Linked DNA regions of Saccharomyces cerevisiae S288C. The gene in region 3 interacts genetically with the main gene of each other region. Each region holds a gene or a part of one and is shown on either strand. Other genes may lie near its edges.

Region 1 (6,349 bases), on a different chromosome or scaffold from region 3:
ACATGGTCACGCTTTCCAAACCATCCAGAGAGATCGTACATATGATGATGCCCTAGGTGAAGTTCCTCACAGTTTCGATCCGGACAACCACCCTGCCTTCCCAGAATACCCAATGAGAAGAGATACTTTATACGTTAGACCACAATCCAATTTCGTCATCAGGTTTAAAGCCGATAACCCAGGTGTTTGGTTCTTCCATTGTCATATCGAATGGCATTTGTTGCAAGGTTTGGGTCTTGTTCTCGTGGAGGATCCTTTTGGTATCCAAGATGCTCATTCTCAACAACTCAGTGAAAACCACTTAGAAGTTTGCCAGAGTTGCTCTGTGGCCACTGAAGGTAACGCCGCTGCCAATACACTGGATTTAACTGATTTAACTGGTGAAAATGTTCAGCATGCCTTCATTCCTACCGGTTTTACCAAAAAAGGTATTATTGCCATGACATTCTCCTGCTTTGCCGGTATTCTTGGTATTATCACAATTGCAATTTATGGTATGATGGATATGGAAGATGCGACCGAAAAGGTTATTCGAGACTTGCACGTGGACCCTGAAGTCTTGCTAAATGAGGTTGATGAAAATGAAGAGCGTCAGGTAAACGAAGATCGTCATTCCACTGAAAAGCATCAATTTTTAACTAAAGCCAAACGGTTCTTCTAATAAAGGAAGATCATGTATTTTGCGGTTAACCTGTTTTTTTTTTTTCGGTCAAGGGTTCCAAATGCATTTGCATGTAAAGTGAATGCCCTTGTCTTACTTAATATTACATAGACATATACTTAATAATCTACCACGTTTCAAATTCAATAATGCATGCTTCTTGGCGGTTTTTGACATGAGATCCTCATCTGTCACGAGGCTGATGTGCATACTTTTACTTTTAATCGATGACATGATCAGTTTCTTTTGAACAAAAAGCCGTTATGGGTTGAAAAAAAGTGAAAATGAAAAAGTCATCAGAAATATATGAAAGATATAATAAATTGTCGAAGAGAAATTACGTCGAGGAGGTTGAGGAAAATAAGAATGGCAACGACAGATATCATATCTCTAGTAAAAAATAATTTACTCTATTTCCAAATGTGGACGGAAGTGGAAATTTTACAAGACGATTTATCATGGAAGGGAAATAGCCTGAGATTACTGAGAGGTCGTCCGCCTCACAAGCTGAGCAACGATGTAGACACAGAGCATGAAAATAGCTTGTCATCGCCACGCCCGCTAGAGTTCATATTACCCATCAATATGTCACAGTACAAAGAGAATTTTCTCACTTTGGAATGCTTGAGCCAGACATTTACTCACTTATGTAGTCCATCTACTGAAAGAATACTGCTGGCCATAATTAACGATGATGGTACAATTGTTTATTACTTCGTTTATAAAGGAGTACGAAAACCGAAAAGAAATTGAAAAATGAACTTAAAGACACCTTTCTGCATTATTTTGTTTATTTTTATTATATGTATTTACAGGCTAAATTATATAATGACATCACAACGTTTCCTTGCTCTCTAAATTGAGGATCTCTTTGCTCCAAGTTATTACTTGGTCTATGGACGAAGTCATCAATTTTGTTCGACATACTATTCAATAATTCACTTCCAAAGGTTTGTTCCAGTTTTGAACGGATGCGGTTACCATCAGGTAGGCCTAACTGAACGTAAAGATTTGCAAGGAAAAGAAGGTCGGAGGAAAGTATTACAGAATCATCCAGTTTTTTACGGGCAGCCAACCAATTGCTGACGCAACTCTGTAGTCTATTATCAAATTGAAGATTATATTTCACCTGTTGTAGCTCTTGCTTACCCTTAATTTTGTTCTTATGCGCAATTTTGAAGGTCTTTGATTGTGCTAGTTGCGAGGCTGACTCCATTGCTTTACTTTCTACAAATTCTTCATCATCCTCAAGGGTCAGTGAGCCTATAATCTCCTCACAATTTTCACGTGCTTGCGATCTTAGTTGCAATGGCGTATTATACCACATAGGAAAATATAGCAATTTTGAAAACAACTTCTTGGTATATTCATTGTAATTTTTGGTGTTCAAAAAGAGCTGGTAGTCCGTTAGTCTGGAAATTTCAACGTCAACATAATTCAATAGGGAATACTCTAAAAGGCGATCCTTTTTTCTAACAATTGCTAAATCTTCTTCATAATCCGTACCTTTCTCATATTTGCTAGTACATATATTTTTATGTAAGAATTGTACGATGTTCACGTAACCAGATACTTTCGTTCCATTATCTAAAATTAACACTGGTAGTTTTCCATCTGATGATAGGTCTGTATTGTTTGAGAATACGATCTGCAATCCCGCAACCATACTCTTTGCCTCTTCTGAAGTACATAACTTGATAAACCATACAAGCGCAATGCTGTCCACTGAAATCAACGATGCTTTGCCATCCTTTCCCCATAAATGCACACTACCTTTAACCATTACTGACTCGATAATAGCCTTGCTTTGCGTTTATTTGAAAAATACAAATTCCAGCATTAAATAGTAGCCATTCTAAATAGCTTATTTCTTATTACATTTCCCACTTCGTTTAAAATGATAACAATCGTGACAAAATTGTCGGTTACCTTGTAATAATTAAGAAGAAAAGTGTAGCTTGTGTGATGAAAGAGTATTCTACAACGAAATAAAAGGCCAAACTGGAGAGTCAAACAAGAGATATGTCCAGCTCTACGACTCCTGATTTACTATATCCCTCTGCGGACAAAGTCGCAGAGCCTAGTGACAATATACATGGAGATGAACTACGACTTAGAGAAAGGATTAAAGACAATCCCACGAATATTTTATCATACTTCCAGCTTATTCAATATTTGGAAACTCAAGAGTCATACGCTAAGGTGAGAGAAGTATACGAGCAATTTCATAACACATTCCCGTTTTATTCACCTGCGTGGACTTTGCAACTAAAGGGTGAATTGGCAAGAGATGAATTTGAGACTGTTGAGAAGATTTTGGCTCAATGTCTTTCTGGCAAGTTGGAAAATAATGACCTATCTCTTTGGTCAACATATTTGGACTACATACGCAGAAAAAACAACTTAATTACTGGTGGACAAGAGGCGAGAGCTGTTATTGTCAAGGCATTCCAACTAGTTATGCAAAAGTGTGCAATTTTTGAACCCAAATCATCTTCTTTTTGGAACGAATATCTCAATTTTTTAGAGCAGTGGAAGCCATTCAACAAATGGGAGGAGCAACAGCGAATTGACATGCTCAGAGAATTCTACAAGAAAATGCTATGTGTTCCTTTTGATAATCTAGAAAAAATGTGGAATAGATACACTCAATGGGAACAAGAAATAAATTCCCTAACAGCCAGAAAATTTATTGGCGAGTTATCAGCCGAATACATGAAAGCCCGTTCCTTATACCAGGAATGGTTGAACGTTACTAATGGATTGAAAAGGGCATCTCCAATTAATCTGCGCACAGCAAACAAGAAAAACATACCACAACCAGGTACCTCAGACTCAAACATTCAGCAGTTACAGATTTGGTTGAATTGGATAAAATGGGAAAGGGAGAATAAGTTGATGCTTAGTGAAGATATGCTATCACAAAGAATCAGTTACGTTTATAAACAAGGTATTCAATACATGATATTTTCTGCTGAAATGTGGTACGATTATTCAATGTATATATCTGAAAATTCGGATCGACAAAATATCTTATATACTGCGTTATTAGCTAATCCCGACTCACCTTCTCTTACATTCAAGTTATCCGAATGCTACGAACTGGATAATGATTCTGAAAGTGTTTCTAACTGTTTTGACAAGTGCACTCAAACTTTACTATCGCAGTATAAAAAGATCGCCTCCGATGTAAATTCGGGTGAAGATAATAACACAGAGTATGAACAAGAGCTGCTATACAAACAGAGGGAAAAATTAACATTCGTGTTTTGCGTGTATATGAATACGATGAAAAGAATATCAGGACTATCCGCAGCACGTACTGTATTTGGTAAATGTCGTAAACTGAAGCGTATATTAACACATGACGTCTACGTGGAAAATGCATATTTAGAATTTCAAAATCAAAACGATTATAAGACTGCTTTTAAGGTTTTAGAATTGGGTTTAAAATACTTCCAAAACGATGGAGTTTATATCAACAAATACTTAGATTTTTTAATATTTTTAAATAAGGATTCGCAGATCAAAACCTTATTTGAAACATCAGTGGAAAAAGTGCAAGATTTAACCCAGCTGAAGGAAATATACAAGAAAATGATAAGTTATGAATCGAAATTCGGTAACTTAAACAACGTTTATTCTCTAGAGAAAAGATTTTTCGAACGGTTCCCCCAAGAAAATTTGATTGAAGTTTTCACAAGTCGTTATCAAATTCAAAACTCCAACTTAATAAAGAAATTAGAGTTAACTTATATGTATAATGAGGAAGAAGACAGTTACTTTTCTTCTGGAAACGGGGATGGCCATCATGGCTCTTACAATATGAGTTCGTCAGATAGAAAGAGACTAATGGAGGAAACTGGAAACAATGGAAACTTCTCCAATAAGAAATTCAAAAGAGACTCAGAGCTTCCAACAGAGGTTCTTGATTTATTGAGCGTTATACCAAAACGTCAATATTTTAATACAAATTTACTCGATGCGCAGAAATTGGTGAATTTTTTAAATGATCAAGTAGAGATTCCAACAGTTGAGAGCACCAAGTCAGGTTAACATTACGTTAATAAATAGGTATATATGAATATTTATACCAACACATCTATTATAATAGGCGAACCTCTGTATGTAATTAAGTAAAAAAAAAACGATGTGACAGGATAGTTAAGGTGCCTCGTACATAAATAAAAACGGAAATAGTTAATTCTTTCAAAAATATGGCAATAGCCAAACTCATTCAGAAGGTACAGGAAACACTCTGTTTCTGTGCGTTTATATAACCATGCTTATAAAAGAAAGATTGAACAAAATATACATGAATTTATGAACGGTAATCACCGTTAATTGTTACATATTCATGTGATAAATCACAAGTCCAAAATTGTGCTGCCTGATCACCGGTTCCCAAGTCGACAGACACTTCCAAATCATTCAAAGCCAATATTTCAGAAGCCCTTGTTTCATCGATCTCCAATTGTGGCACACCATTAGCGACAAGCTTCAGCTCACGAGGTTCTGAATTGTCGGTAGCAATAAAGCTAACATTAATTTTGTTGACATCTAGAGATTTTAAGTCATTCAGCTTTGCATACCCGATCGCGCACAATATTCTTCCCCAATTGGCATCTTGCCCATATAGTGCGGTTTTGACCAACATAGAGTTTGAGATTGATTCAGCAATTATTTTGGCGTCTTCAAAATGCAAAGCATTTTTAACGTTAACAGTAACAAACTTTGTCGAACCTTCACCATCGCGAACGACTAACTGGGCCAAGCGCTGAGCAAATTCTGTGACCTGCAATTTTACTTGTTCAAAATCTTTAGAGTCTTCGTTAATTTCTTTGGTGTCAATAGCACCGTTGGCCAACATGCAAATTGTGTCATTGGTGCTCATATCACCGTCCACCGATATACAATTAAATGAACGGGTAGTAGCGAAAGTCAGCATCTTCTGCAACGCCTTGCTTTCAATAGGAAGATCTGTAACTATGAAACCTAATAAGGTAGCCATATTCGGACAAATCATACCCGCGCCCTTTGCCATACCTGTCAAAGTATACTCAGTACCACTAGGTAATTTGAATCTAGATGTAACTAATTTTGGGAAAGTATCAGTAGTACAGATTGATTTGGCTACGTTCAACCAAGAGTTAAAATCACTGCCGAACTTTTCTTCTCCAAAAATTTTATTGATACCAGTGCTGATCTTGTCCATCTGTAGTCGTTGTCCAATAACGCCTGTAGACATGACTAGGGTAGAATTTTTTTGACCAATTTTATCGTTAACCAAATCAATCATTACTTGGGCATCTTTCATACCAAGATCACCTGTGACCGAGTTAGCACAACCGGAATTGACTACAATAGCGTTGATGTTTTTACCACGAGCAGTTTCAAGGACTTTTTTCGATGTCAAAACTGGCGCAGCTTTGAATTTATTGGTCGTGAAAACAGCTGCTGCGGTTGAAGGACGAGATTTATTGGTATTCAAGATTACACCCAGGTCCAGGCTCCCGTTTTTTTTGACTCCAGATGCAGTGTAGCCTACTTCAAATCCTTTAGGAAAAGAGCCCGTCTTGGGCACGTATAATGCATACTTATCTATAAGCTGCTTCGAGCGTTGAAGCAATGTTGATGATATTCTCATGCTATGTTGAATTTTGGACTTCTTTAAATAAAGGGAATAGA
Region 2 (5,796 bases), on a different chromosome or scaffold from region 3:
GCTCACCGGGATACGGACTGCGGGCGGATGCTAATGTAGAATCGTCAACTCTTATCGGTATTGTCACATCGTCAATCAACCAGATCATGGGCAGTTGCCACACAAACCACCAAATCCCAACGAAAAGAACAGCCACTTGAACATCCTGCTTACTGCCCTTTTTAGATGCGACTAAGAACATAGATACAATCTGAACAATGAGGGCACTTGAATAACCTAAAGATGCACCTCTACCGCTAATAACAGTAGTTAACGAGTCTACCTTATCAGGTTCATAAGCTCCTTGACTTTGACATTTCAAAGAATCCTTGACAAAAATGGGCAGAAGAGAATTCCCAACAACATTGATAACGCCAAAACAACCATTGGCCACTATATAAAGCCCAGCCAGAGAATAAATCTGGGTATCATTCAATTTTGAAATCGCAACAGTCGACAATGCGCCCACAATACCAAACCAAACCAGAATTCTGCCTTTGAATTTAACGCTCCCCCAGAGATCTACTATCCCTGAAACGGAAATGACTATTATAGTTTGGAATAAAACGCTAAGGGAAAAGACATATAATGCAAAACTTGAAGTATCTACGAAGATCCGATTGTTGAACAAACCAAGAACACACTTATCTGAATCACTACCCGTTTCTGACAGGCAGGGTATGGAGTGATCGTGAACTTTTACACCATTTATACTCGCAAATTGCTGCAGTAGTAAGGGAATATACGTTGAAACCGCAGAAACGACAAATGGTTCGCTAGAAAATGAGTAAGCGTACCATCCCTTGATATTGTTTTGGGCTTTTTTTATTCGATAGTTCGTTACCGATTCATTCATATCATTTATAGTTCCATAGCTCATATCTAATGTAGAGAATATGTTATGAGCAAACTATTGCTTATAAGGGCAAAAACCGTGGTAATATAGGTACAGTTTGAAATCTTTCCTTTTGTTTACACTACGCATCTTTCAATAGCTGAGGTATTTTCGTTTAGGAAAATACCGTTTTAAGGAATTAATTTTAGCAATTTCCTAAAATTGTTGAGCGGCGCTATCAATGCCGCACAATACAACAATTAATAATCTAAGACACGTTGCATTATACATGACAGAAGCTAAAGCATGGTCTTAGATGACAATAAAAAGGAATTTGACAGCACAAAAGAGAAAAAAAAAACTATACATAAAATTTTTTACATATGAATTGCTTAGAGTAAAATAGGCATTTTTCATATCTTCTTCCCAATTATTAAATTAGCAAAAAATTGAATAAAAAAAGCAGGTGGTTTAAGAATTGCGCAGGGAGAAGAAAGAATATCATATCTCATGATGGTAGCCACTTAGACAGAGAGAAAACGAAGTGAGAAGAGGCTAGTATTTTTATATCTTAAAAAAAAAAAAAAACAAAAAAAAAAAAACATAAATATTTGTATCTTATTGCTTATGATGATAATGTACAATGAATTCAAAACATGAAAATTGTTCAAAGTTTTTATTTTTATTTTCTCTTTCGTATTAAACTGATGGAACAAATGAAAAAAATGGATAAAAAAACAAAAAAAAAAAAAAAAACAAAAAAAAAACAGCTTTGCTGGAGGATGATTAACTTTTAATTTTTTTAATTATTAGGTTTTTCAATTTTTTATGGTTTTTTGTGTAAAATGCAATGAACGAATCCATTTTTTATTTTGCAAGTGTGAGAGGCCTTTATAAGGAAGACTCGGATTCACCGGCAGCAACCGGCGCAGAGTCTTCTTTGGTTTCTTGTTCTTGAGAAGCGAGTTCAGTGGATGATTCCTCTTCTTGTTGAGGAACAGGTGGTAGGGATATCATGAATTGGTCCAATGCATCGCCGACCAGTTCTTTTTCAATATTAATTTCAGTTTCAAAAGTTTCTGGTAACCAGTTTGACCAGCTCTTGGAACGAACGAAGTACTTATCCAATGGAGATGGTTCTTTGGCTTCACCGGTAACGTTATCACCTTCCTTGGCGGCCAAAGTACCTTCTGCAACATTGACGGTAGCGGCTTCGTTAGCGACAATTTCTCTCAATGCGGCTAAAATCAGGTTAGTGTCACCTCCGAAGGACATGTTAACAACTCTGTAAAACTTAGAGATTAAAGACAATGGAGCAAAACCATCCTTGGAGAGTTTGGACCTTAAGTAATTGTCGACGGTCAAGTTTTCTTCGCTGAAATAGTATTCAATTTGTCTAGCAATGTTGTTGATGGCCATTAACACTGGTTGGACTGGATAAAACTGTTGCTGTAATTTGACCATAGGTTGTTGAGGATGTTGTTGGTTGTGATGGAAGTGGTTGTGGTATTTAGAGCGGTTGTTGTTGTTATTACGAGCGTTGCGTCCTTGGTAAGGTTTAAACTGTGGTGGGAAGCCTTGGTTCTGAGGCATACCGGCGTTATTACTGTTGTGGAACTTTCTCCTTTGAGGACCATTGCTGTTATGGTGATGACTGTGGTGATGATTACGGTGGTGAGGTGGTTGTTGCTGTTGTGTAGATTGACCATTTTCTTGAGAGGTAGCGTCTTTTGAATCTTCCTCACCTACTGCCGATTCAAAGCCATCTTTCTTCATTTGTTGTTGCTTCTTAGCATTATGTTGGTGATGCTTCTTTTTCCTGTTAGCATTACTCGACGATGTCGACGATGCTGCAGTTTTGTTGTTTTTGCTCTTGTTGCTGTTGCCATTACTTGCACCATTCTTGGAACCGGATCTTTTGGTGCCAGAGACGGTAATGGAGGCCTTGATGGGAACCCACTTGGTAGCAGTCGATGATTTCGGAGTGGGTGTTCTGTTCTTCTTCTTTCTTGTGGCATCCAAGTCTTCTATTGAGATAGTAGAAACAGGGATCTCAGTAGGAGCAAGTTTCCATGGGGAAGATGTGGGCAATGGTGCCGGCGTCAAGTTGACTTGCTTGCTCTTGGAGCTCTCTTGTTCTTGCACTTCTGGGACTGGGGCAGTAGCAGTGTTTGCGGCGGCGGTTTCAGCAGACATCGTGGGCAGAGAAGTGAAAAGAAGATGAAACACGTTAGCAGGTCCAGAGTAATCCTGATGTTCTATTACCGATCTAGGATCCCAAAAGATCTTCATAAAACCGAAAAAGATGTTAAGAAATGTTTACACTTGTACTTTTCTTTCTTTGTTCTTGACCTACCAGAAGTGAAAAAAATTTTTCATTGCGTGGGTACATCCGTGCACCATTTCTGAAAAATTTGCGATGAGCATCCCTCAAAATCCGTATTATCCGCTAGTGTTTTGAGGTTCAACAAGACAACATATAAGAAGGGAAGAAGGAAAGGAGGCAATGAGAACTTGGGTCTTGCTCGAGAGTCCAGATCCACATGCAGGTTCAAAAAATGGTGAGAGATAACAGTAATAACGGTAGCGATAAAAGCGTCCATTGGGAGAGGAGGAATAATAACGGCGCAGGCCCCCGTTATCGTTCCAGAAGCGGTAATACCGGTGCTTTGGCAACAAAACTAAGTAATGGGACGCTCTCTGTCAGAGGATTAGTGAAGGACCGAACAGGAAGCGGCAAGATCGCGGGCTGTGTGGAGGCGTTTCTGGATGCCAGGACCCAATTGAATACGCCCTGGGACCGTGCTAAGTGCAATTGGCTGGACCAGATAGATTACTATGTACAGTTGAGAAAGACCGCGTTTTCTAAGGAATTGGACCAACTAAGGAAGCCCATGATCGATGCATATGTGGCGGAGATGAGGCAGAAGTTTGATGCCTCCTATGGACAATCCAGGGCGCAATTGGAAGCCAAACTGGCGCAGGTGGACAGTGAATGGCATATGGTACATGGTGATGTGCATGCAAAACTGGAAAAACTCGTGGAAGAACGCCGGTTTTTGAAAAGATTAAGCGACACGATCGTACCACCCAGGTCCAAAAGATCACAGCGGCTGTCTCCATTGACCAAAGAGGACCGAGCCAACTGTATCTGTCCGCAGCCCAAAGGAATGAGCGACACCGCTTGGTTCGAAGCCATTCAGAAGAAAATGTTAGGAATGAATGGTACCATCAAGCTCCTAGAGACAGAACAGAAACTACTGGCTGACGAGAAAAACAGCGTGAGGAAGACGTTCTGGCCCATGGTGGAAGCACATTCACGCTCGAATGAATTTGCTTATCTGGAGAAATGCATCAGGCTGATGGCCTCTCAGAGAGCAATATGCTTTTGTCTTGATATAGAGGCTTTCGAAACAAACCAGAACGTAATCACCGAAATTGGGATTTCAATTTATGACCCCAGGGAAAATATGGTGCCGTCAATGGTTCCAATTACAAAGAATTACCACCTAATTATCGAGGAGTCCCTGGAACTTAGAAACCAAAAATGGGTCTGTGACTACAAGGATTGCTACTTATTGGGAGAAAGCTATGTTTTGAGCTTGAAAGAGTGCGTGCATTTCATTCAATCACTAATAAACTATTACTTGGTCCCGGTGACCGAAGAAGACAAGACATGGTCAAGGGCATTTGTTGGTCATCACGTGAGCGGGGATCTTAAGTGGCTGGAGACTATTGGTGTCAAATTCCCTGGCAGAGGGTATGAAGGCCATCTGGACCATACGCTGCTTTTGGCTGAAACTCCCGGTGATCTAGACGTGTTCATCTTGGACACTGAGCAGTTTTACAGGAAATCGTATGGCGAAAAGGGCAGCAGTCTGGGCAAGATTCTGCGGTTGTTCGAGATACCGCATGCGTTTCTACACAATGCCGGTAACGATGCCTACTATACCCTGCATTTGTTCATGAAGTTTTGCGATGTTAATTTCAGGAAAATAAGCGGCATGGACGATGTTCTTAAAGTAATGGGCCAAGTAAAAGTTTGGGGAGAACGAGACGTACGAGAGCCTAAAGTGGTGCCCATGTCGTATGCCATCTCCATCGAGGAGGCAGTCAAAAATCGGACGTACCGCAAGGGCGTCAAGAGCAGTAGGAAGGAAAGAGTCTGCCAAACGGAATTCGGTGGGTTAACGTATTTCGGAACTGCTAAAGACGCCTTCACAAGCACTCTTCCGACACACTAAATATATTCATCGATTTTTTTCCTGTAAATACAAACACATGCTTGTATACATATACATATACATATATATAAGCTCATTATAAACCTGTGTGCATGGAAAAAACTTTGTCTGCCCTTAATTTGCAAGAATAGGTTCTAACAATTCCTCCAATTCACCAGTCTCCCTCAATTCCTGCAAGTCGTCGTTGCCTCCAATATGTTTACCATTAATATAGATGTTTGGCACGGTTCTTTGGCCATTAATCTCATATAACGCAGCCTGAATGTCTGCGCCTTCCTTCATGTCATTCAATTGCAAAACCAGAACTTTGGACCTGGGAACCTTTAACTTTTCAAAAAGCGTGTTTAGGGCTGCATGGCAGTATGGACAGTACGTTTTGGATGCGACGAAGATCTCGTTTTCTGCAATAAGGTCCTTGACGTGCTTGATAGTTTCTTGAGATACCATTTTTTTTCCTTCTGAGGTTTTGTCTATTTGTATAATTATGCGAATGCTCGTATAAGTACTGCACGAAGTTCTTTATTTTATGCTAAAGTCCCTTTTTATATTATATAAACTTTTCATTTATTTTATATATTTACTCCTTTCAAGACAAAATTCCCACATCACGTGAATCAGGAGGCGCAAGGGGGGTAGTAAGGCAGTAGTAGATAAAGAAAACAAGCATCGCAATCTGGAAACGCCGTTGCGGCTGCTCGTTATCTGTAGACAGCTCACTTGTGCATGAAGTTCATGTTT
Region 3 (5,869 bases):
GCCAGCGAGAGCGGATCTTCCACTTATAATACCAAATTCCATCAATCTATTCAAGAGCAGCTCGAAGAAGAAGAGGAAGGAAATGTTAGCGATAAGCTTTCAATTGTTTCCAGTGTCATACCCGAGTTGTATACAACCACCAACGAAGCACCCAAAGCGATAAACCCAATACGTTCTGAAACCAATGACTACAATCCAACTATTCCGCCCAGAAGTAAGGACCGTCCTAGGTCAAGGTTGTTCATCGAAGAAGGTGATGGCGAGGGGGATCTTTTAACCGAAGAAATATTACCAACGCCGGTCCAACCTGGTGGCCACTATAAGAACTCATCTCAGATTTCCACAGTTAGTGAACAAAAATCGGAATCTTACTATTCTGCGGCAACGAGTATGCCTCCAGAGGAAGAGACTTACTTGACAAGACCATTGCCCAGCACACCCAATGAGGATAGCAGAGTTACATCGAATTTGAAACGTGACGACACATTGAAGGCTATTCATGATAGGGCAAATCATACCTCTACTTCGACAAACAAACAAGATGATGACATGTACGAGGACATCATTGAGGAAACGCCCAAGAAAACTAAACTCAAGAAGGATACGAAAAAAAAGCTCAATAAAAAAAAATCTGTGAAGGAATTGCGATCCTTTGATATCGACACACTAAATCAACTGTTGAGTGTGACAAAGGGAACCTTAATCGGGTCTGAATTTGCGCAACTGGGGATGAAAATTGAGGAGAAACGTGCCCTGGAGAGACTAGTAGACTCTTTGTCCAGGTTAACAGCAGACATGGTTCTTGATCCGGACCGCTATGAAGAAGGACTGAAAAGATTAGACAAAGCTACAAAGGCTCTTGAAGGGTTTTGATGGTGCAACAACAATAATAATAGTAATAGTAACAGTGGTAGTAACAATAACAATAACAATATCAATATCAATATCAATAATATATTATAATACTAATAATGAATAATAATAATAGCAATAAGTATAGTATAGTATAGTGGTAATATATAAGTTTCTTTCTCTTCCGGTTTATTTACAAGTCATATACAAATAAAAAAAAGTGATAGTAATTCAATGGCTTGTATTCATTGATACTTGGACAAGTCCGGCATACTTAAAATTTCCTTCTCTTTATTTTCACTGAATTCTTGTAGCTGCTTCAGCAATTTAGAATTGGCCCACTTGTCAGGCAAGGGGCTGGTTTTGAAATTTTTTGTGGCCCAATAGTATATGTCCCAGTCCAACTCATTCAATAGCGAATCGTATTCTTCCAGTTCCTCTTCGTTCATCTTCTTCAAATATTTGGCAGCGAACCCAGATAGCAGCAAGTCCGTCTCCAAGATCCCTCTTTTGCGTGATTGATATATCAACCGAGCTCTTTTCTTATCCAATGGCTCGTTAGTTCTCTTTATGGGGGCAATTTTAATCCTCGTCACCACATCGTCGTGGTCATCTTTATCACTACTAAACCACCTACGACCGCACGACCATGCAGCGGACCCTGTTTGAGAGTTGATAATCTTGTAGCCTTGCAACGACAGTGTCTTTGTGAGTGCTGGAAACATATTGTGCATTTATGTGCTCCTTTTTAAAGTGTACTCCCTTTTTTCCTCCTGTTCTTTTTTTACAAATTTCGCCTTTCTTATATATCCTAAATATACTTAAAATCTAGTCTCTTATGAAATCTGTAAGAAACAGCATAATGTCGCTCCTTCTCTTCTATTTCCTATATATATCTACATATCACCAAAGAACGTGAGAATGGGCAGGAAACATCTTGGTGATTCGTTCATTAACCGGCGGAACAATCTCTTGTATCATTGTAGTCTTTTTCACTACACACAGTTGTAACTGTGGGAAACAGTTTGCGCGTAAAAGTCCCAAGTTAATCAGTGTCACAAGTACGTTTTCGACGTTCTTGGGGGAGTGAATGCCATTATAAATGGTAATTTCCTGGGCGCCGGGATCCTCGAATGTCGGACCAATAGATAGCTGTAGTACCCGTTCTATCAAGGAGTACGGTAATTTGTTCTGACCCCATTCGGTGGTCCAGGACTTTATTACCGTTTTAATCAGATTTCTGTACGTTACCATGGGCAGTTTCTCTAGGAGCACGATCAGTAACTGTCTTGCACACAAATGACGCTCGTTTTGTCTCAGCCAGAGACTCACGCCTTGAATATTCCCATAACGTACGTGTTTGTAGAGAACACTCCAATTATCAATTGTTTCTTGGGAAAGGAACGGTCGCAACGGTCCCCATTTGACCATCTTTCCCAGTATCAGCCCTGTAGGGATCATGTAATTTAGTATTCTGGTGCCATTCCTAGTGATCGCTTGGTTCGTTAACGGCAAGTTCAATAAGGACTGGAAAGCTTCATTGAATTGAACGAAGGCATTATGTACTTGAGAGTTCAACAAGTAGTACCTTCCTAATAGATATCTGTATTCTATTTGCTGGTCGAGCTGGTATTCGTTGAAATGTGCAAGCATGCTTTTTGGCTGAAAGTTCTTAAAGATATTGGAACATAATTGCGGTGACTCGATCCTGAAGTAGATGTTATTTAGTTTATTGACCAGGTAGAGCAGTATTCGTTGTTTTCCAGGTATATTTGTAGAAGATGCGTTACCTCGTGGAGGTTTGATGCTGTTAAATAGTCTTGATAGGATGGACGATATATGTGATAGAAATTGGTGACTTCTCGTATGCAGTTGCAAGTGGAAAGAGTCTAGTTTCCCAGCGAGATTGATGATAAATTCTGTTTCTCTAGTTGCTACTGGTATCAACATTTCTATGTGAGGAGCATTGTCGTTGATGAGACAGTTGATTAAACATTGATAAAACTCAAAAATTAGATCCGAACTGGACCAGGCTGACCATGGGTCGACATCTCGGGCATAATTTAAAAAGGATGTACACATGATTTTGAATCTCGTATCATTGGGCATAGCCGGGTGTTGTTCTACAAACGTTTCTAGCTGTTTATCATCAAATCCGGTCAATTGCTTCTGTAAGATAGCAATTTCCCTACCATTTTGGGACAAGTTTAGCGTTAGGTGGGAAAAATTTCCATGTGCTAATTCATCTAGCAACTGGTTGGCCATGTCCATTGCTATCTATCCTTTTATCCCTGCCCTGTTTCTTACTTTGAATGCCATTGATGTGAAGATGGTTTTTTTTTTTTGGAAAAGTATAGAAGAGAAATTTGACGTATAAACTTAACTATTAAAGGGAGAGAAAGTCAACGACATAAAAAGCAAACACAATAGTCTACAAATAATGTCTATGGAGCCTCCTGTGGGGCTTACGGCTATGCCCGTCACCAAGCTAGCCATGATCACGACGCTTGTGGTTCCCTTAGTTGCCTCGATTGCAAGTTACAAACATATATTTCTATTGCAATATGATCCTTTTCTGCAGACCTACCATCAATACTACCGTCTGCTCATATTCCAGTTCTGCGCCATCAATGAATCCGATACAGTAATACTGGCGTTGATATGGTATCTGTTTAGGCATTTAGAACGGCTACTAGGATCCCACAAGTACTTGACCTTGATTGTTTTGTCATGGGCCTACACCACCTTAGGAATTTGGGGATTGAATCTGATCTGGAACGCATTTATTGGACAGTACAAGTGGCTTCAATGGAACAATTTTAGTACAGGTTCACTGCCCATTGTTTTAAGCTTAGTACATTTTTACAAAGAATACACCCCTCAGATTTACGAATGGAATATAAGATTACTAGGACCTCGAGGAGGAGCATCAAGTCACAATGATAACAAGCGAGAAGACAAGAGCGCCGTAGAGTGGAAAATCAACGATCAGTTTCTTTTAAATGGGTTAATTCTCCTGCTTATATTAAATCAGGGGTTTGCAGGAATACTATGCGGATTCATAAGCTGGATGTGTGGTATTTTCATCGATAAGGGCCTGTTACCGGGATTAGACCATTGGAGAATACCGTTTGTATCCTATTTCATCTCTCAAGGCCCACCCACGAGGGCTAACGTTGCTATAGCGGCCAATGCGGCCACGAATACAGCAGCAGCAAGAGCCACTGTAGAAGCAGCTACTGCTGCTACAGGAAATGGAAATACAGGCAACTCTGGGCCTACAAGCCTACCGCTTCGTGGTTCAAGCACCACCCCTACAAATACCTCTAGCGCTGGTGATGACGAGCCTGGTGCCGATGAACCTGCAAGACCACTGGGAGTCCAATTTTTGGATACCTTTAGGAGATGATTTATATCAGCATATACCTACATAAACAAATAAACATAGCAACGGTTTAGCAACATCGTTTACAGCCATGTGAGGCAGTTACTTCTATCATATGTCTGGCTTTAGTATTGTTGGGTTGACACTTATACGAAATATCAGAAAGTGAAAAAAAAAAAAGGAAGGATCTAGTGATGAGATAAACGAATTTGTGATGTAAATGCAGAAGTAGGCACAAGTGCTTGGCAGTTTTCAAACGATCATCGTATTTTAAGCTACAATCACCAACGCCAAACATCCACTTGCAGCCACTATGTCACAGCAGGAGAATGGTGATGTGGCCACTGAATTAATCGAAAATAGACTTTCCTTCTCAAGAATCCCTAGAATAAGCCTTCATGTAAGGGATTTGTCAATCGTTGCATCCAAAACAAATACGACGCTAGTTAATACGTTTTCCATGGACCTGCCCAGTGGGTCGGTCATGGCAGTTATGGGTGGTTCGGGGTCAGGGAAGACTACGTTGCTGAATGTTCTGGCATCCAAGATCAGTGGTGGGTTAACTCATAATGGTTCTATACGGTACGTATTGGAAGATACAGGTTCAGAACCCAATGAAACAGAGCCTAAGAGGGCTCACTTGGATGGCCAAGACCATCCCATCCAGAAACACGTAATAATGGCGTACCTACCTCAACAAGATGTACTCTCTCCTAGGTTGACTTGTAGAGAAACTCTTAAGTTTGCAGCTGATTTGAAACTAAACTCTTCTGAGCGAACCAAGAAATTAATGGTCGAGCAATTAATTGAAGAATTAGGGCTCAAGGATTGTGCCGATACTCTTGTGGGGGACAACTCGCACAGGGGTCTTTCTGGTGGTGAAAAGAGAAGACTAAGTATTGGTACTCAAATGATTTCAAACCCTTCCATCATGTTCTTAGATGAGCCTACCACTGGACTGGATGCATATTCTGCCTTCTTGGTTATTAAAACTTTGAAAAAATTAGCTAAAGAAGATGGCAGGACTTTTATCATGTCAATTCATCAGCCGAGATCGGATATATTGTTTTTATTGGACCAGGTTTGTATTTTGTCAAAGGGAAATGTGGTATATTGTGACAAAATGGATAATACTATCCCTTATTTTGAGTCTATTGGTTATCACGTACCCCAGCTGGTAAATCCAGCAGATTATTTCATTGATTTATCAAGCGTAGACTCTAGATCTGATAAAGAAGAAGCTGCCACGCAAAGTCGGCTAAATTCATTGATTGATCATTGGCATGATTATGAGAGAACTCATTTGCAACTACAGGCAGAATCTTATATAAGCAACGCAACGGAAATTCAAATTCAGAATATGACTACCAGACTGCCATTTTGGAAGCAAGTTACGGTGCTAACAAGGCGAAATTTCAAATTAAATTTTTCAGATTACGTTACTTTAATATCTACTTTTGCAGAACCGTTGATTATTGGTACTGTTTGCGGTTGGATTTACTATAAACCTGACAAAAGCAGTATAGGTGGTTTAAGGACAACAACCGCATGTCTTTACGCGTCCACAATTTTGCAATGTTACTTGTATTTGCTTTTTGATACTTATCGACTTTGTGAGCAGGATATTGCGTT
Region 4 (5,903 bases), on a different chromosome or scaffold from region 3:
ACAGAATGAAAGTAGAGTTTTTAACGATGACCTCTTTGGTGATTTTATTCCTAAGCATTACCGTAATAAACAGGAGAACATTAACAGCTCGAGTAATTTGTTTCCAGAGGGAAAGGTGCCCCAAGAAAAGGGCGTATCAAATGAAAACACTAACATATCTCTCAAAACTAATGAAGATGCATCTACATTGACGCAGAAACTCTCTCCACAAGCGAGTAAAGTGCTGACAGAAAATTCTAATGAATTAAAAGATACCAACAATGAAGGGAAGGACGCAAAGGACATAAAATTAGGAGATGATTACAGTGATAAAGAAACAGCGAAAGAAATAACTAAACCAAAAAATTTTGTTGAAGGAATAACTGAACGGAAAGAAATATTCCCCACTATTCCTAGGTTAGCGCCGCCAGCTTCAAAAATTAACTTTCAAAGGTCACCATCCTATATTGAGCTCTTTCAAGGAATGAGGGTGGTTTTAGATAAGCATGATGCCCATTATAACTGGAAACGCTTGGCTAGTCAAGTCTCCTTAAGTGAGGGACTAAAAGTCAATACTGAGGAAGATGCGGCAATTATAAATAAAAGTCAGGATGATGCCAAGGCGGAAAGAATGACTCAAATTTCTGAAGTGATTGAGTATGAAATGCAGCAACCTATCCCAACTTATTTGCCTAAGGCGCATCTAGATGACTCGGGTATTGAAAAAAGTGATGACAAATTCTTCGAAATTGAAGAAGAACTTAAGGAAGAATTGAAGGGCAGCAAAACCGGTAATGAAGATGTCGGTAATAATAATCCATCCAATTCTATTCCAAAAATCGAGAAGCCCCCAGCATTCAAAGTTATTAGAACATCGCCTGTGAGAATTATCGGAAGGACTTTTGAAGACACTAGAAAATATGAAAATGGCTCTCCATCTGATATTTCGTTCACTTATGATACTCACAACAATGATGAACCTGACAAAAGGCTGATGGAATTAAAATTTCCATCCCAAGATGAAATTCCGGATGACAGATTCTATACTCCAGCAGAGGAACCCACTGCTGAATTTCCGGTGGAAGAACTTCCAAATACTCCGCGAAGTATTAACGTTACAACTTCAAATAACAAGAGCACAGACGATAAGTTGAGTAGCGGTAATATTGATCAAAAACCTACCGAACTGTTAGATGATTTAGAATTCAGTTCATTTAATATAGCATTTGGAAATACCTCCATGAGTACTGACAATATGAAAATATCATCCGACTTAAGTTCGAATAAAACCGTGTTAGGAAATGCTCAGAAAGTTCAAGAGTCTCCTAGTGGACCATTAATCTATGTTTTGCCTCAGAGTAGCACAAAGCATGAGAAAGAGGGGTTCCTTCGAAAGAAACAAAAAGACGAGCCCATTTGGGTTTCCCCTAGCAAAATTGACTTTGCTGATCTAAGTAGGAGAACTAAAGCATTGACGCCAGAGCGTAATACTGTTCCTTTGAAAAACAACGACAGTAGAAAATACAAATATACTGGAGAGGGATCTATCGGTAATATGACAAATATGCTGTTAACTAAAGATGCTTCGTACGCGTACTTAAAAGATTTTGTTGCGTTGAGTGACGATGAAGATGAAGATGGGAAACAGAACTGCGCTGTTGGTGGCCCAGAGAAACTGAAATTTTATTGAGTGTTTTATTGATTTTTTTTTTCTTTTTAATTTAATGCAATGTATACATTTACATAAAATATGGACAAATAAGAAAAAGGGGGAAAAACCTCCCACTTAAGTAAAACTGAATATATTAGATACCTTTACCTACTATCAAAGGTGAATGCTTTTGGATCAATAGGGGTTCCATCGGGGGCAATACCATTTTGGCCGAACTTTCTTTCCATATATAATAGTCTAGCCTTATCGAAATCTACATTATCGTTTTCCATAATTTGTTTAATCTCATTCTTGGAGACATCATCCAAACCACCTCTTACGTCGTTGCTATTCTCCGAGATAATATCGAAATTCCTGGAATGGAGACCGTTTTCTAGGTCATCAGCAAAGGAATCATTTAAACGTATATGTCTATTAAAACGTAATTGTATTCTTGAACGCAGTGCACGAAATTTGTCGGCTATTACAGCTGTTAGTATTTAGATACGGTTTGCACTTTGCATTTTCAAATGCTTAAATATACATACCAACTTTGGTTTTCCGGTGTGCCATAAGAAGGCATAAAGACAATAGCACAACCCAGAGGAGCAATTTGAGATAGAACAAACTCTTCATACTCGTATTTGCAATTTTTGGAAATTAATTGTGTAGCTTTTCTTCTCTTAATTGGTGGCAGTTTTTATATATTCAGTTTAGAATACCCTTTTTTTTTTTTTTTTTTTCTTCGCTTTTCGCATCTCATCGCTGGAAGTGGTGCTCTTTTACAGGGATTAAATAAGGTTATTCTTTTTGGTCAAAATGATAAATATAACTATTAAAGTTATTTATAACCCGCCCGCTTCCTTATTATTTATACGTTATCATAAAGTACACAGGTCATGGTTCGGTTGGTGCTTAGGAATTAATCACGTCTAGCATAAGAGATCTGTAAACTACAACCACCATAATTATAATTATTTAATTTTTGAATACAAAAATCTGCATCTACTAAATTTTCATATTCTACAACAGCAACACCAGTTGGTTGACCATTTTCCTGTGGTTTCAATTCCGCGTTATTGATTTTGCCGATAGGCCCAAACAAGTCGAATAAATCGCTTCTTGCTGTTGAGAATGGTAAATTACTACAATAAATGAAACAGTTTCTATCCCCTCCTGGATTGACACCTTCAGTAAATTTTGCTGCAGTTTCATCAATGTGGACAGCGGCATCCTGCGCAAGACCTGGTTCAGTACCTCTGGTATCTTCAAGGTCCTCACGCCTTTGATTATAACGATCATTGTTCTTTCTCTTGTTGAAACGCCCTTCTCTAACTTCCAAAACTCTACCTTCTACTTCCATGCCGTTGAATGTATCGATAGCTCTAATCATTTCATCCTCAGTAGGATAAATGACAGAACCGAATCCTCTTGAAAATCCGTTGAAATCCAATTCTACATCGGCACGCAAGACATGACCACATTCTTTAAACATATCTTTTAAGGATTGCCAATTCATAGAGTACGGTAAATTGATGATGAACACTTCAAACCCATTATCTATTTCTTCCCTAGTAGCTTTCTTAGAAAATTCCTTGGCAGCTTCAGGAGGAGGATTATCCTGTCTTACCATTAGTTTCCGGTCCATAAAGAGGGCACCATCAAACTTCGATATGGCATCTTGGACAGATTCGTTTTTGGTAAATTCCACAGTCCCCATACCACGGTGATGGCCCTTTGATGTGATAATGTCAGCCTCCACAACTTCGCCCACTGTACCAAACAATTCCTTAAGGTCTTCAGGGGTACAATCAAAAGTCAAGTTTCTCACGAAGATACTATTTTCAAAATTTCTCTTGGTCGCGTCAAATTGCCTTTCTAAGTCTCTTTCAACAATTGGACCTAAAGTACGACCCCTACCGCCACCGCGTCCCCCTCTGAATGATCTGCTTCCTCCTCTGCCACGGCCTCCTCGGCGAGGGGGCCAGTTCCTATCATCGTGGTAGCGGCTGCCACCATAACTCTGATCGTACCGATCATTGAAACGGGAGCCTCGGTCGCGTCTCTGACGACGACTGCCATTACCATTATTACTGCTACTATCGTTATAATCATCGTACCTGTCTCTGTCGTCGCTCAAACGACGACGTACAGGTGATCTTGATCTACTCCTATCATTTCCATACATCCCTAGCTCTCTCTCCATCTTGGCGAAAAAATCCAGCTGATGTTTGTTTCCTTTTCGCCCATAGCTTATTTCTAATGGGAAATCCTCAATATAATTGATTTCATCCAAGCTTTCATTTTTTTTCAATTTTTTTCACCTTCAAGTGAATACATCACTTCCGACGATACCAAAATAATGACAAAATGCCATGAGAAGATCTTATGATATGTAGTAAATGTTAACCACCATTGCTATTTCCTTGCTAGGTTTGCCAAAGCCGTTGGCGAAGGCAGCACTAGACGGCGAGTCACTTCCGTCTCTTTGTCCACTTCCTCTTCACCATCAAATCGAAGCCTGCAAGTGCCGTCCCTCTTGGTTCCGATGACAATTGCAGGATAAAAAGTGGTCGTTTCAGGATATCTTGCCAGAACCTTAGTACCTGGCGGGTAGTTCTTAGTGGGAAAGCCTGGCGGGATCAACAGTAGTTCTTTCCGATTACATTTATACACCTTGCCTGAGTTGCCCAATTCATCAGGTTCAGGATCTCTCACTTCAAATCGTGTACCATCTGCTACGACTTTGAGTACTTCACACTGTATCCATTCGCCGTCGGCACTGCCCCTTCTGGGCTTATAGGCAACCTCTGAGCCCACCAAAATAGGTGCATTTGGGTTGTATTCGCTGGTCCAGTACGATCTGCCAACTTTCCCCACAGCTTTCTTGCCCTGCGACAATGCCATGCGTGTCCCTTCTCCTTCTTCTGCATCTTCAGTATTTTCCTCACTCTTTTCCTCTCGTGACTGATTCAACATCAACGACAAATTGGAACGTACATTGTCAAGGATTCGGTGCACTCTGTTGACGTTTTCCATGTGTTCTTGGAAAGTGTTGAGATGCAATTGCAGCTGATCCTTTGACATATTAAGGAAATTTAGTTTTTTTGTTTGCAGCTCATCATCAAAGGGAATGACCTCGTTGGCATTGTATATGTCTTGCAAGGACGACACTACAACATCCCAATATCCGTCCATAATAAGAAAGGTGACCGTGTGTTTTGCTGTGAAAAACTCCCCCCACTTAGAGAAGCCACCAAGGTATTGTGTCTTTAACCTTTTTCGTATCTGGCAAAATCGAAGAGGAAAGCAGAAAACCAAAAGAAAAAAATAGTTTAGTAACGCGTCACCTCGTACAAACGTACAATCATAGCAACTTATGAGTAAATAGGCTCATGGTTATAGATACGTTATATAGATGTATAGAGGAGAGTCCCGAGGGCGATCGCAAGGCCGAGAGACTAACCTAACCAGGTGGTAGTTGGGAAATGTCGACGATTTCGCTGATCTTTTCGTCTTCGTCGGCAGCTTCCTCGGTGCTTGTCTTCAAAGGAGTTCTTGGCAATGCCATCATACCGCTTCTTGCACACTCTAGGACACCGAATGGCTCGACCAACTTCAAGAAGGCAGAGATACGTGTGGGTTTTGCAGACAACTCCACAATACAGCTTGTTTCGCTGATGTCGACGACACGACCTCCAAAGTTGTTGGTCAAGTTGGTGATATCGTTCAAATGCTCGTGCTTCAACCTTAATACCTCACTGGCGGGCAAGTTGGCAGGGTGGAATTGCTTTTCTCTGATTTCGGCGACCAATTCTTGGGAGTCAGCGGCGCCAGCATTGGTGGAAGTGTGGTGGTGCAATAGTAGGTCTTCGAAGTATTCAGTACCCAATAGAGAGATTCTGGCCATCACTAGCTCTCTTTTGATGATCTCAGAATTGGTATAGTCTAGGACGGCGTAGACGGGGACCAAGTCTTCGATTTGTCTGCGTGCTTGTTCGACTACGCCATCTTGCCCTTGCAAAACAATGGTCATTCTACTTAGGTCTTTGACCTCGGTGTTGCACACGACCAACGAATCGATGTTAAAGCCTCTGGCAGCTAACGTACCCGAGACTCTGGACAAGACACCGGGTTCGTTTTGCACCAAACAGTTCAAGACATGCTGTTTTCTTGGTTGACGAGAAGGCGCTGGTGTTTCGTAAATGATGGATGAAACGGCACTGTTGGCATTCCAGGAAGGAGTGTCTAGTGTGGGCAAGGGAGGTCTTGT

The links.
Region 1: mutations in THP1 (region 3) and RNA14 are lethal when combined (synthetic lethality), as found in Saccharomyces cerevisiae (one study listed by BioGRID).
Region 2: mutations in THP1 (region 3) and SRO9 together harm fitness less than expected from each alone (positive genetic interaction), as found in Saccharomyces cerevisiae (2 studies listed by BioGRID).
Region 4: mutations in THP1 (region 3) and GBP2 together harm fitness more than expected from each alone (negative genetic interaction), as found in Saccharomyces cerevisiae (2 studies listed by BioGRID).

What each region holds. Positions count from the first base shown.
Region 1 is NC_001145.3:390,072-396,420, forward strand, and holds RNA14 (cleavage polyadenylation factor subunit RNA14), read left to right. Parts: upstream 1-2,683; coding exon 2,684-4,717; downstream 4,718-6,349. Other genes in the region: ferroxidase FET3, read left to right, coding at 1-661; SEN15 (Sen15p), read left to right, coding at 1,028-1,414; SAM complex subunit SAM37, read right to left, coding at 1,461-2,444; ARG7 (glutamate N-acetyltransferase), read right to left, coding at 4,983-6,308. UniProt on the Saccharomyces cerevisiae protein: Component of the cleavage factor IA (CFIA) complex, which is involved in the endonucleolytic cleavage during polyadenylation-dependent pre-mRNA 3'-end formation and cooperates with the cleavage factor NAB4/CFIB and the cleavage and polyadenylation factor (CPF) complex.
Region 2 is NC_001135.5:55,669-61,464, forward strand, and holds SRO9 (Sro9p), read right to left. Parts: upstream 3,011-5,796; coding exon 1,706-3,010; downstream 1-1,705. Other genes in the region: ATG22 (Atg22p), read right to left, coding at 1-859; GFD2 (Gfd2p), read left to right, coding at 3,358-5,058; dithiol glutaredoxin GRX1, read right to left, coding at 5,173-5,505. UniProt on the Saccharomyces cerevisiae protein: May overlap in function with tropomyosin and may be involved in organization of actin filaments. Acts as a multicopy suppressor of RHO3 mutation. RNA-binding protein which may modulate mRNA translation.
Region 3 is NC_001147.6:192,224-198,092, reverse strand, and holds THP1 (Thp1p), read right to left. Parts: upstream 3,124-5,869; coding exon 1,756-3,123; downstream 1-1,755. Other genes in the region: NBA1 (Nba1p), read left to right, coding at 1-873; succinate dehydrogenase assembly factor SDH5, read right to left, coding at 1,098-1,586; DSC2 (Dsc2p), read left to right, coding at 3,293-4,261; YOL075C (uncharacterized protein), read left to right, coding at 4,551-5,869. UniProt on the Saccharomyces cerevisiae protein: Component of the SAC3-THP1 complex, which functions in transcription-coupled mRNA export from the nucleus to the cytoplasm.
Region 4 is NC_001135.5:99,523-105,425, forward strand, and holds GBP2 (single-stranded telomeric DNA-binding/mRNA-binding protein), read right to left. Parts: upstream 3,837-5,903; coding exon 2,553-3,836; downstream 1-2,552. Other genes in the region: BUD3 (Bud3p), read left to right, coding at 1-1,669; YCL012C (uncharacterized protein), read right to left, coding at 1,795-2,111, 2,179-2,266; SGF29 (Sgf29p), read right to left, coding at 4,049-4,828; ILV6 (acetolactate synthase regulatory subunit), read right to left, coding at 5,097-5,903. UniProt on the Saccharomyces cerevisiae protein: Binds to intron-containing transcripts and is involved in quality control for the export of spliced mRNAs from the nucleus. Binds to pre-mRNAs until splicing is completed or until faulty mRNAs are degraded.